3 linked regions of the Notamacropus eugenii genome follow. The protein of the gene in region 2 purifies or fractionates together with the protein of the main gene of each other region. This does not show direct contact. Links are inferred from orthologs where the notes say so. Each region holds a gene or a part of one and is shown on either strand. Other genes may lie near its edges.

What was found.
Region 1: the proteins of ACTL6A (region 2) and SMARCE1 purify together in Homo sapiens (affinity purification with mass spectrometry; 9 studies listed by BioGRID and IntAct, with this or other methods). This does not show direct contact. The link is inferred for Notamacropus eugenii from reciprocal best matches to the Homo sapiens genes ACTL6A and SMARCE1.
Region 3: the proteins of ACTL6A (region 2) and SMARCD2 fractionate together in Homo sapiens (co-fractionation; 5 studies listed by BioGRID and IntAct, with this or other methods). This does not show direct contact. The link is inferred for Notamacropus eugenii from reciprocal best matches to the Homo sapiens genes ACTL6A and SMARCD2.

Annotation. Positions count from the first base shown.
Region 1 is NC_092873.1:356,293,163-356,296,906, forward strand, and holds the start of SMARCE1 (SWI/SNF-related matrix-associated actin-dependent regulator of chromatin subfamily E member 1), read right to left. Parts: upstream 2,796-3,744; 5' UTR 2,709-2,795; intron 785-2,708; 5' UTR 740-784; coding exon 733-739; intron 554-732; coding exon 510-553; intron 1-509. UniProt on the Homo sapiens protein: Involved in transcriptional activation and repression of select genes by chromatin remodeling (alteration of DNA-nucleosome topology).
Region 2 is NC_092877.1:344,710,063-344,713,806, forward strand, and holds the start of ACTL6A (actin-like protein 6A), read right to left. Parts: upstream 2,692-3,744; 5' UTR 2,218-2,691; coding exon 2,121-2,217; intron 1,504-2,120; exon of another isoform or gene 1,336-1,503; coding exon of another isoform or gene 1,311-1,335; intron 1-1,310.
Region 3 is NC_092873.1:343,814,024-343,817,767, reverse strand, and holds the start of SMARCD2 (SWI/SNF-related matrix-associated actin-dependent regulator of chromatin subfamily D member 2), read right to left. Parts: upstream 2,759-3,744; 5' UTR 2,561-2,758; coding exon 2,345-2,560; intron 1-2,344. UniProt on the Homo sapiens protein: Involved in transcriptional activation and repression of select genes by chromatin remodeling (alteration of DNA-nucleosome topology).

The sequences.
Region 1 (3,744 bases), on a different chromosome or scaffold from region 2:
TGGACAAAAGGGAATAAGCAACAACCAGCTGAAGGCAAAATTTTTTTTAGTCAAGAAAATGGAATGTTCTGATGGGTAAAAACCCAATAGTTTTTTCATTTAATACGATGATGGGATTAGCCTAGATGACCTCCAAGGTCCCTTTGAGCTTGAAATTCTATGATTTCTTTTTAAATGATGACTATTGCCAAGATAAAAGCGGTGAAATTATTGTTATGATTATCACAGGGTTCTTATTTTTTCCCAGTACAAGAAAAACTCACTATCAGGAATTTATTTTGCAATTGAGAGATCACTGTATCTTGGCAGTTTATTCTTTGAAAATTTCAGGGTTAGTTCAAGGCAAGGTGTGAAGAGATTTAAAATATTTAGTAGGAAGTATTATTTTTACATGAAATGTTTTCATTCTGGTTGCTGTATTACTGAGTGATTGCTACTGGAAGACATCTGGGTTTTTGTAGCAAGGCCAGACTTTTGGCTATTACATTAACAAGAAAATTAAAACTTACTGTTGCAGGAGCTGGGGTGGGAGGTGGGGCATAAGATGGTCTTTCTGTTTGAAAGAAAATAAATAACTTCTTGTAAACAACGGAGATATAACACTAAGCAACAAAACTACCAATGGCCCTGTTTTGAAGAAAAATTTTGAGAAAGAATATTTTGGAATTCCCATTTGCTAGGGCATTAGTCCCTTATTCACACAGTTTGATAAATATAAAAAATGAAACTTACTTGACATTTTGGAAGATTAAGTTCTCAGTCCCTTAACAATGAACTTGGGACACTAAAAAAAAAACAACAAAACAACAAAGAAAATCAAAAGTATGCATGAGAGAATGTTTTCCTAAGCAGTCAAAGAATATGATAAATAAAATAGTGTTTCTGGGTAAAACAACTCCAAATTTTGCCTTTTCTCCTTTTTTAAAAAAATCCTTTAAGAATGTGGCTTGGAAGCTTATTTTCTGAATTAAAATGATTATTACAAATTATTGGGGGAAAATAACAGCGATTGGACTAGTGCAATAGTTTTTAAAATTTTACCCTGAAATTCTATGAGATTACTGAGCTATTCTCATTTTAAGAAATATTTACTGATAACACAAGCAAATTTAAAGATGCTCTTTTTAAAAATGATTAGGAGAAAGAATACAACTGATTAGCAGTTTCTTTCCATTTAGTGTCTTGGAAACTGCTCTTTATTACTCTTTTGAAGCTGGGCAAAGAACAGGAATTTCCACAGCTTAAGAGAAAACTATAACTTTTCAAAAAGAGAAGCAGATATGCTATATGAGCAAGAGGACTGAATCTGAAATCAAAGCTTTTAGGTCTGAAATTATAAATTTCTCCTATGACTTTGGTAAAGTTACTTAATCCTCTCTGAGTCTCAATTTCCTCATCTGCAAAAGGAGGTGATCAGACTTGATCAAGATTTCTCAACCTAGGTTCCATAAAAATGTTTTTAAAAACACATATATTTAGTGGAATTGGTTTCCTTTGCTTCCTTGTAATCCCATGCATTTTATTTATTAAAAAAAATAATACTCTAGGAAGGCTTTACCATACTGTCAAAGGGGTCCATGATAAGAATCCTTGGACAAAATGATCTATAAATTTCCTTGCAAGACTAAATCCTATACACTTGTTTTAACTAACTATAAGTTTTACAGAAATAATAGTGTTTCACTTTATTATATTTCTGATACTGGACAAAGGATTTAGGAGCATAAAGTTAACTAAACACTTTGGGGCAGCCACTTATAGTGGAAAGAGCACCATCTCCAAGGTCAGAGGATCAGGGTTGTAATTCCACATCGGACTATTTATTTACCTGTATAACCTTGGGCAAATCACTTACTCTCCCTCATTTTCTCATCTGTAAAATTATGGGATGGGGGTCGTGGGGGTAGGGGAAGGAGACTGGATTAGATGGCCTCTAGGGTCCTTTCCAGCTCTAGATTTATTAAGCTATGACTGTGTTTGTCTTAAAAAAAAATGTCATTCTAAGTACATATAAATGGGAAAGCTAAAAAAAAAAAAATCAGAAAAAACGACAAAGTTAAGGACCCCTTTAGTAAAGGTCCTACCCACTCAGGATAACTTTCACCCAGTGACTGCAACGTGGAATGAATGCATCAGACAAAGATGATTTTGGGGGGCATGTATCACCTCAACAAGGCTCTTCAGAATAAGGGAGGAGGGGGAACCATGACTGCAACGGGATGAATATTCCCGGTGGATCTAGTCTCAGTACTCTAGGGAATTTCCCCATTTTTAAGGAAGAGGAGCATGCGGACGTCACGGACCTCTGACTATGGAGTCCAGCTGTTCCCCGCGAGCAGGTGCTGCCGGAATCCGGCCGCACTTCTGGGGGGAGGGGTGGAAGGACCAGGACAGCGTTCCCCCCGCCCACCCTCAGACCTCCCCTTTGCCACTCTCAGGAGCCCGACAGGGACAACGTGGCTCCTCCCGGGCCGCGGCCTACACAAAGAGCTCCGGTTTCCCCGTCCCCGGTCGGGGGGCTGCCGGGACCTCAGCAGGCTCAGGAGATTACTCCACCGGGGGCCGCCGTAGGCCTCCCGCCCTCCCGCCCGGGCTCACAGCCGCCCCCGCCGCCCAGCTTGGTCCCAAGTTCGGGGCAGAGGCAGGGGCGCCGCGGAGCTCTCGCCCCCCGCTCAGTAGGCGCGTCTTCCCCGTCTTGCTCCACTTACCCGGGCTCTGTAGAGAGGCCGCCGCTCCGGCTCCTCTTCCTTTGTCCCGCGCAGGCCCCGCCCCCTCGCGCCGCGCCGCCGCTTTCGCGGTCGCACTTTCGACACACGGTTGGACTCGGGACTAGGACCAACGACGGCTCCTGGGAAGAAAGAAGGGCACGAAGCCGCGGCATTGCCAGGCGAGAAAGTATCTGGCACCGAGTCCGTCTCTTTTTTCCCTCAAAGGTTCTCGAATTCCAGAGGTTTTTTTTAGCGGGGCGCAGATTCGCCACAGGAGCCGGAGTGGGAGGGGCGAGAAGAAAGACGACAGCCCATAGACAGGAAGAGGCCCAGTCGGAAGCGTAAACGCAGCCTTTCCTGGAGGCGGGGCCAGAGCGAGGAGGCGCCGGGTGCGTGGCGAATGTGATACCTCGTGACCCAGAGCCCGCGCTCGCACAGCCTCTCAGACTCGAGCTGGGGGCGGGTTCAAGACGCGCCGTTGCGTAAGTAGGTGGCCGTGCCGTGTGCACGTATGCAGGCGTGCGCGCTTCCGCAGCTCAGAGCGTGCCCGCGCTGGACGGTAAGGGCTGGACTGCTCGGTCCTGCTCTGAGCTGAGCCTGGTCTTACCCACTCAACTGTCCGGGTCCAGACTAAAGTGTTTGTCTATAGCAAAGACACTCCTGACCCAGCGGGGAATGCGGGAGGGGTGACCCGCCCTAGAGGGTGCGGTCGGGACTTTTAGGGTTCAGAGCTGGAAGGGAAGGAGGGCTAGAACAGCTGAGCATCGTCCCTTTATTTTACAGAGCGGGAAGCAGGGCTGGAGAAGTTAGCTTGACTCGCCCAACGTTGTGCAGGTAGTAAATAAATAGCAGGGGCTAAAGGCGTCCCCGAAGCCACGGTCCTTTTAACAGCGCCAGATTACGGGGGACCCACCCGCCCTCTTACCCGGCTCCCTGGCATTGCTGCATACTGTACCCTCAGAACTGCTCCCGAATCTAGTGCTTTTACCCTTACGAAGGCAGTCTTTCAGGGAAGAGGAAAAGGGGAGGAGACTGT
Region 2 (3,744 bases):
ATCCCCTTGTGAAATCATCAAGGTGACTCTCCCAGTTTAGAGAAGAGAAAAATAAGGTCTGAAAAGGACCCCCAGGTCATAAAACCAACCAAATGGGGTGTCCAGCCTGACAGCTGCCAGGCCCGGTTCTTACGACCACCTCACTTCACAAGGTGCGCAGGCAAGCTGAACAAAGATTTCTAAGACCAGACTACAAACCCACGATCCCCTGCTCCGTCTCCTGAACCCAATCAATCCCCCAAGTTTCTCCACCAGTGTCCTGAGCACAAAACGCCTTCTGAGAGTCCGCTGTCACGGCCCCGCAGGCCCCAGGGTCCCAGGTGTCCCGGGGGTCTGCAGAACCTAGGAGGAGCACGGCCTGGGCAGACCTCGGACCTTCTGGGCCAGGCTGGCCAGACCTAAGGACCGCTTCTCGGAACGTCGGCTGCTCTTTTAGATCGTCACCAAGGCGACGCTGGGTCCCGGGGCAGGTGAGTTCAAACCAAGCTGCCTTTGGGTGCTGCCCAAGCTTCTCCGGCTCGGGGTCACTGACCCGCCTGAATCTACCCCGGACCAGGCTAAGAAGCCCAGGTCCAGCAATCTCGGAAACTTTCGGCAGCGCCGTGACTCTCTGAACGTCTCTCAGACGGGTCGGGGAGCTCAATGCGCCATCAGGACCCACCATCCCGCCCAGTCGTTCCCCGAGACACTGACAAAGGGCACTCAAGGCCCACAAGGTGCCAACACCCCCCTCAGGAGCCCACCCAGAGGGCCTGGGCCCTTGCCCTGAGGCGGCCCCTCCGTGTCCGGGGGCGCTCTGAACGAGGCGCGGGCCCCGGAGCCCCTCGGTGGATGCCCGATCTATGCAGGGCCCCGAGGACCCCCCTCGCCATCTCGGGCTCCGAGGCAGGCCCCACCCGGCCCCGGGGCACTCTCTCCGCCGGTGGCCGCCGCCCCTCCCCCATGACCCGGGGCGGCCGCATGGTGCTGCCGGGCTCTCTCCGTTCCGACCTCGGTGTCCCGGGGGCTGGTGCTGGGCGCCAGGACGCGGCTGGCTGCCCACTCTGGGCCTCGGGGCCCCGGCAGCGCTGGCGCCCGCAGGCCCGCGACCTCCCCGCTGCAGTGACGGCGCCTGGTCGCTGCCCTCTCCGGAACCCAAGGGAGGCCGGGCAGGCCTTCCGGCAGGGGCTTCAGGGCTACCCCTCTCCCCGCCTCCCTGAGCGGCGCCGGAGCGCGGGGATGCCTGCTCCGGGCCCCGGCCCGCGATCCCCCACGCCGCGCTCTCGGGCCCGGCTCTCTTCGGGGCCCGCGCGGCCCGCGCCCACGCTCACCTCCTCCATAGACGCCGCCGCTCATGGCTGCTACTGCCGCCGCCGCGCTGAAGCGGCCCCCGGCCCCGGCCTGCCCGGCCCCGGCGCCTCCTGGGCTCCAGCAACCGCCGCCCGCCCCCCGGCTTCCCCCTGAGGCAACAAAGCGCCGTCCGCTCAGGCGCGCATCCACACTGCTGCCGCCGCGCCGCGGGCCAATGACGAGCGGCCAGGCCTCCGCGTCCGCCAATCCGAGAGAGACGTTGCCCCCGCCCGCAGCCGTGCGACCAATAGAACGTCCTCGGGGGGCGGGGAGAAAGCCAAGCGGCGGAAGGGGGCGGAGGAGACACCGAGTTGGGTTGCAGCGCGTAAGGGGCGGGGCATAAGGGACTGGGGCGGGGCCTGCTAGGGGGAGAGGCGGGACTTGCCAAGAGCGGGAGCCCCAGAGACCCCGCAAGTCACGCGGTCCCACCCCCTCTCTCCCCCAAAACCCAGAGAAGAAGGGACTCACGTGACGTCACACATACGTGTGTGGGGGGAGCCCCGGGGATCTCCAGCTGCGGGAGGTCGCGAGGTCCTCCCCATCCTTTCCCTGGAGCTCCTGCACCAGTGCGGGGACGCAGGCCTGAGTTGCCAGCCCCCCTCTTCGGTCACGTGCTCCCGGGATGGCCTCAGTTACCTCATCTGTAAAATGAGGGCGCACTGCGGACCCTCCCAGCTCTGTCGGTGATCCCAGGGGACACGCCTGACCCAGCAGCAGGTCTGGGGCACCTCCCTCTGCGCGGGTCCCTCCCGCAAGCCCTCATCCACCAGCAGGCTCAGGTGCGCGCTTACCTGGCGCACTCGCAGAGTAGCCTCGGGCTGCTAAAAAGTCCTCTCCAGGTGCGCGGATCTGTCGTACCCGGTGCTTATGCCCAGTTATGGCTCCCATTGGGCACTTGGTGACTGCCCCTAGAACAGACCTGAAGCACTGCCTGCCTCTGGGGAACTGAGTGTGGCTTCTGGAGCCGCCCCCTGGAAGGTGACAGGGCTGGGACCCGAGAAGCGCTGACTCCCTTTGATTTGGGCAAGCCGCCAGGCATAGAAATGCTCCCGACTTTATGGCTGACAAGGGAAACCCTGCCAAACCCGCGGGAGAGATCCTTAAAAGGAGGGATCCTTATTCTAACAGCTACAAGTACTTCTTAAGCGCCTACTTCGTGCCAGGCACGGTGCTCCGAGCCTTGAGCCGGCAGACAAGAAGGCAACAGCCCATGACGTTATGAAGAGTTAATGTCATTAGAACAGGGATGATATGTTGTATATAGGGCATATAGACAGATAAGAGATGAACAGAACGAAGCGAAGCAAAGCTTTCTCCAGAGATGGTCAAGTCCTCCCCCAGGCATCGGTGTTGGTACCTGCAGAAAGCAAGCCTGCCTTTTATGTGACTCCGTGAAGCCACCCTAAAAAGCCCGGGAGCAGTTTTATATCTGATTCTGAAACTCATTGCCTTTGCCAGTAGAGGGCTTACTAGTAATGAGATTTGTTCTATGTCTCCACTGGAGTTCTTGGCTTTGAAACAGGCTGCCCTGACAAATTTTTGAGACTGAGCATGGAGCTCATTTTCAAATATGGGCGGTCAACAATCACCCTGGTAATCCAACTAGCTCTAAAATGTATGCTACCTGCAGAGAAGGCAGTCATGAGCTAAGTGTGTACTACCTTCTGGGAAGACTCAGCTCCAGTCAACAGCATTTATTAAGTACCAGGCACTGTGCTAAGCTCTGAGATACAAAGAGAGGATATAGAAATAACCATGAACAAACGATATAGTCAGGATACTTTGGAAACATTCAAGAGAGGGGAACATTAAGGATTCCCTTTTCAGAAGGTGAGACTTTAGTGGAGATTTGATGGAAGCCAGGGGGAAGAGATGAGGAGGGAGAGAGTTCTAGGTATGTATTACAGCCTGAAAAAATGCTTGGAGTTGGGAGAGAAATATCGTGTACATAGAACAGGAAGGAGGCTGCTGTCACTGGATAGCAGAGTATGTGGAGGGGGAGTAAGGTCTAAGACTGAAAGGTAGGAAGGAACTGGGTTCATGAAGGGCCTTGAAAGCCAACTAGAGGATTTTACAATGGATTTTGAAGGCAATAGGGAGCTGTGGGAGTTTGGTTAAAGGGAGTAGGGAGTATGTGACATAGTGAAACCTCATTTTAGGAAAGCTATTTGACAACTGAGCTGAGGATAGACTGGAGTGAAGAGAGATTTGAGGCAGGGAGACCCACCAACAGTCTGTTGCAATAAATAACCTAAGCTACATTTGTCAACAGCCATGGTGATACCCTACAGGAATGGTAAAGGTGATAGGTGACACACAAGTTGCTGGGCCACTAACATGTGGACTTGTAGCTGAAAGTTTAGGACTTCCACCAGTCACTGGACCCTCACTGGACAAGAATTTCATTGTATAGAA
Region 3 (3,744 bases), on a different chromosome or scaffold from region 2:
CAACAGTCACTGAGAAGTTCCTCATTTTTCAACAGGCCCCCACTAACTCCTTCCTCAGTTTTCACCACAGACACTCACAGTCCCTATTCCCCTAGCTCATCTGACATTCCTAGTAGTACTGATACCGCATCACAAAGTTCTTTATCCCCTAGATATCGTGGTCTAGGCACAAGGAGGGCCAGTGGTCCAGAAAAATGTCCCCACCCGTCACTGCCTGCCAAATTCCCCTAGATCCAGATCTGCCCTTCCCTCAGGAGCAAGGGACCATTGATTCCCTAAAGTCTTGTGAACTAAATAGTCTGGCTGATTCTGTATTTGCCATGTTCAAGGCTATTTCCATGAATCCCATATTGGAGTAAACCCTTCCTACGGCTCCCAACAGTAGGAAGGAAGGGGAGGAGAGAAAGTTGAGAGGGAATATAATTCAATGCCATTTAATCATCTCAAAAAGGGAAGGGTTTAAAAAAAAAGTTTAGCCCTGAATCCATACTAGGCTTGAAGCTGCCTAGGATACTGGTAATTCATGTCAAAGATGATAGGCTCAAGGAACTGGTTTGTTTTTGGATCTTCCTGGAACCGTCTTGGCTCTAAAAGTCCTCATGAGCAAGGCAGGAGGTAGGAAAGATGGACCTGTTTCCCTCAAGGCCTTGAGACTAGGGTCAATATGGCTTATCATATCCAATCAACTGGGAAAGGTAAGAAGGGGGAAAATGCTATTAACAGTTATCATCTGAGAGTGCTAGCAGAATGCATAGGTGTTCCCCTACCTCTGTAAGCTGCTTTCCTTCTAATGCCCTCAGCCTGGAGGGAAAAGAGGAACAGAGCAACCAAAGACTTTGAGTGGATCAGCAAAGAAAATTCAATGCTAAGGTAGGTGGTTTAGTCTTCAGCATAGCCCAAAGTGGACGGAAATGAAATGTGTGTAGAGAACGAAGATAGGAGAGGATATGACTCTCCTAAGTATTCATAAACAATCTAAAACAACTAAGAGATTGGGGAACTGGGCTAAATAGGTGTGAAGTCCCCACTAACTAGAGCCCAGCACAAATCCCTGTCAGGTATTGCCTTCTAGGGGCAGAAGTAACTAACCTTTGACCTCTAGGATTGCCCAACTCCAAGCAACTCCAAGACCTGCACTCAACTGAGTCTCTCTGAACCCTCTTACTGCAATCAGTTCCCAGACACAATGACAGCGAAGTGCTGAGAATGCCTGCCTGTAACTATCCTGGAGCTGGGCTCTCATAGGCCCAGGCCTCCTTTCCCAAGGACTTATCCTGGTTACCTGGCTTAACTCAGCTATATCCCATTTCCTGAAAAACCCAACGGAGGAAACCCACTGGACCTCCTCTGGAGGTCCTGGTGCATGAGGAAGAGGTCCATTCAACTTAAATTCTAAGCTTCCCATCAGCACCACCTCTCCCTCCAAAAAAGCCACTGGGAGTTACATAAAACCATAACAGGCCAAGGCAAGATAAAACATTACCGGCTCATGGCTCCAGAAAACAGAAAACGCCTGAAACAAAATCTTCCTAGGAAACCTCACTCCTGCAATGGGGCTGCCATCCCCTACCCCTAAGTAATTCTACCCTCCCCTAGTTTGTCCATATCCCCCCAGAAACCCAGGATTCCTCTCTACCCATGGAAGGCCTCGGTGCTCTTTCTGCCTACAACAATCTCCACACTCCTTAGGGGCCTCCTTTTGTTCAGGAGCACCTCACACTTCTAGCCCTGACTGTCCCCACCTGCACCGACACCCCACCGCCCCATTTCCATTTCCACCTCCACACATGCCCTTTTACCCCACTCCTTTCATCAGCCAATGTGGCATTTCACTCTCAGGTGCTCAAACTAGCTTCCCTTTGCTCCACAACCTGGGGCAGGCTGGCCTTAGCACGAAGGCCCTACCCAGGTTCACACGTGCACCAAATCTCCCCCAACCCCCATTCCATACCCACCTGCCCTTCCCATAGGGCTTGGCCTGGGGATCAGAGGGCTTGGGTTCAGATTGGACACTTACTATCTATGTGACCTCAGCCAAGCGACTTAACCTCTTTGGACTCAGTTTCTTCCTCTGTAAAATGGGGGATTGAGGGATGCAGGCCTGGATGACCTCTGAGTTCCCTATGATGGTGCCCTTATCTTGGGAAGCCACTGGCCTGGGAAGCCCCGGACTTGGTGTTCTGTGTTCTAGGGCCGCCCCCCAACCCTAACTGTAGTTGGCCTTGACCCCTGGCTGGAGTGACCCTTGAACTTGGCACCGTGAGTCCCGCTTCCTCTGCCAGGCCCCTGCACCAGAGCCCCGGCGGGCCCCACGCCGCCCCAGCCCCGGCCCCCGGCCCCGCACCTGGTACTGCGCCGCGGGTCCCGTGGGCCCGATGGGGCGGAAGGCTGCGGCCCCGGGGCCCCCCGCGCCTCCTGCAGGCCCTGGGCCCCTCAACGCCGCTCCCGGCAGCATCCCGTGCCCCGCGGGGGGCGGGGGGGCCCCCAGGGCCGCCGCCACCGCCCCCCCTCCGGGGCTCAGCGGGGGCAGCGGGAACCCGCCCGCGCCGCGGCCCGACATCGTTCCGTCCCGTCTGGTCTCAGCCTCGATCCAGGTTCCGGGCTCCGCGCCCAAGGAACCCCCTCCGCGATCCGAGCTCCGGGGCTTCCGGGTCCGAGCTCCGAGCTTTACTGATCCAGGTTCCGGGATTTCCCGGTCTGGGACCCGAGATTTCCTGATCCGGCTTCTAAACTCTGCACTGATCCGGTATGGATCGGGTCAGTCCTAGCTCCGCTCCTGGGCTGGGAGGGGAGGAGGCGGAGAAATCCTGATCTGGGCTCGGTACTGCACCCACCCGCTGGAAGTTCAGCCCTCGGTGGAAGTGGGGGGGGGGGGGGGGGGGTGGAGAGTGGAGGAGGGGCAGCAATGTCCCCACTTCCCGCTGACAGCAACAAACTACTGACTCCGCCCAGCCCCCGACTAGGCCCCGCCTATACCTCATGTCTCACCCAATCCAGGGACACCCCTCAAATACCGCCCCTCGCGAGAACCGCCTCTAACTGCCGGCTTCCCTCCCTCCCTTGGCCAGAACCCCGCCTCCTTCCCCCCGCCCCCAACCGGGAGACCGCCGGAGGCATCTTCCTCCTCCTAGCTGTGCTCCCGCCCCCTGCAGGACAGGAGGAGGGGAAAAACCCGAGCAGACCCCGAAGCTATCGCGCACCTTCACCGCCTTCTGATCAACTCCTAGTAAATGTCACTGTCTTTAGCTTAAGGGCCGAGACCCGTGGGGGTGGCCGAGGGCAGGTTTCCCATTCATTCCCAGCCTGGGAGAGACAGCCCAGGCACCAAGGTCCCCGCCAAACCAGCCCATCCAGTCTCGGCAGGGCTGGAGGGGCTGCTGCGGGGGGCTGCTCTCCTTCCCCCACTTCCGCGTGCCCCCGCTGCCCATCTCTGCGTGACTGATTGCCTGTTCACATTAGATTAAGTCAGCGGGCATTTGCGCCCTTCCCATGGCCAGGCATTGTGCTACATCCCTGGGGCTACAAGTGCCCTCAAGGAACTTACTACATTTTAATGAATAATAATAATGCTGCCTTTAATATAGCACTCCGATGTGATCCTTCTAACCACCCGGGAGGTAAGTGCTTTTCATGACATCCCGTTACAGAAATAGGAAACTGAAGCAAACAAGTGAAGTGCCTTGCCCAGGGCCACTGAGCTACTGTGCGTTTGAGGCTGAATTTGAACTCAGGTCTCCATGACTC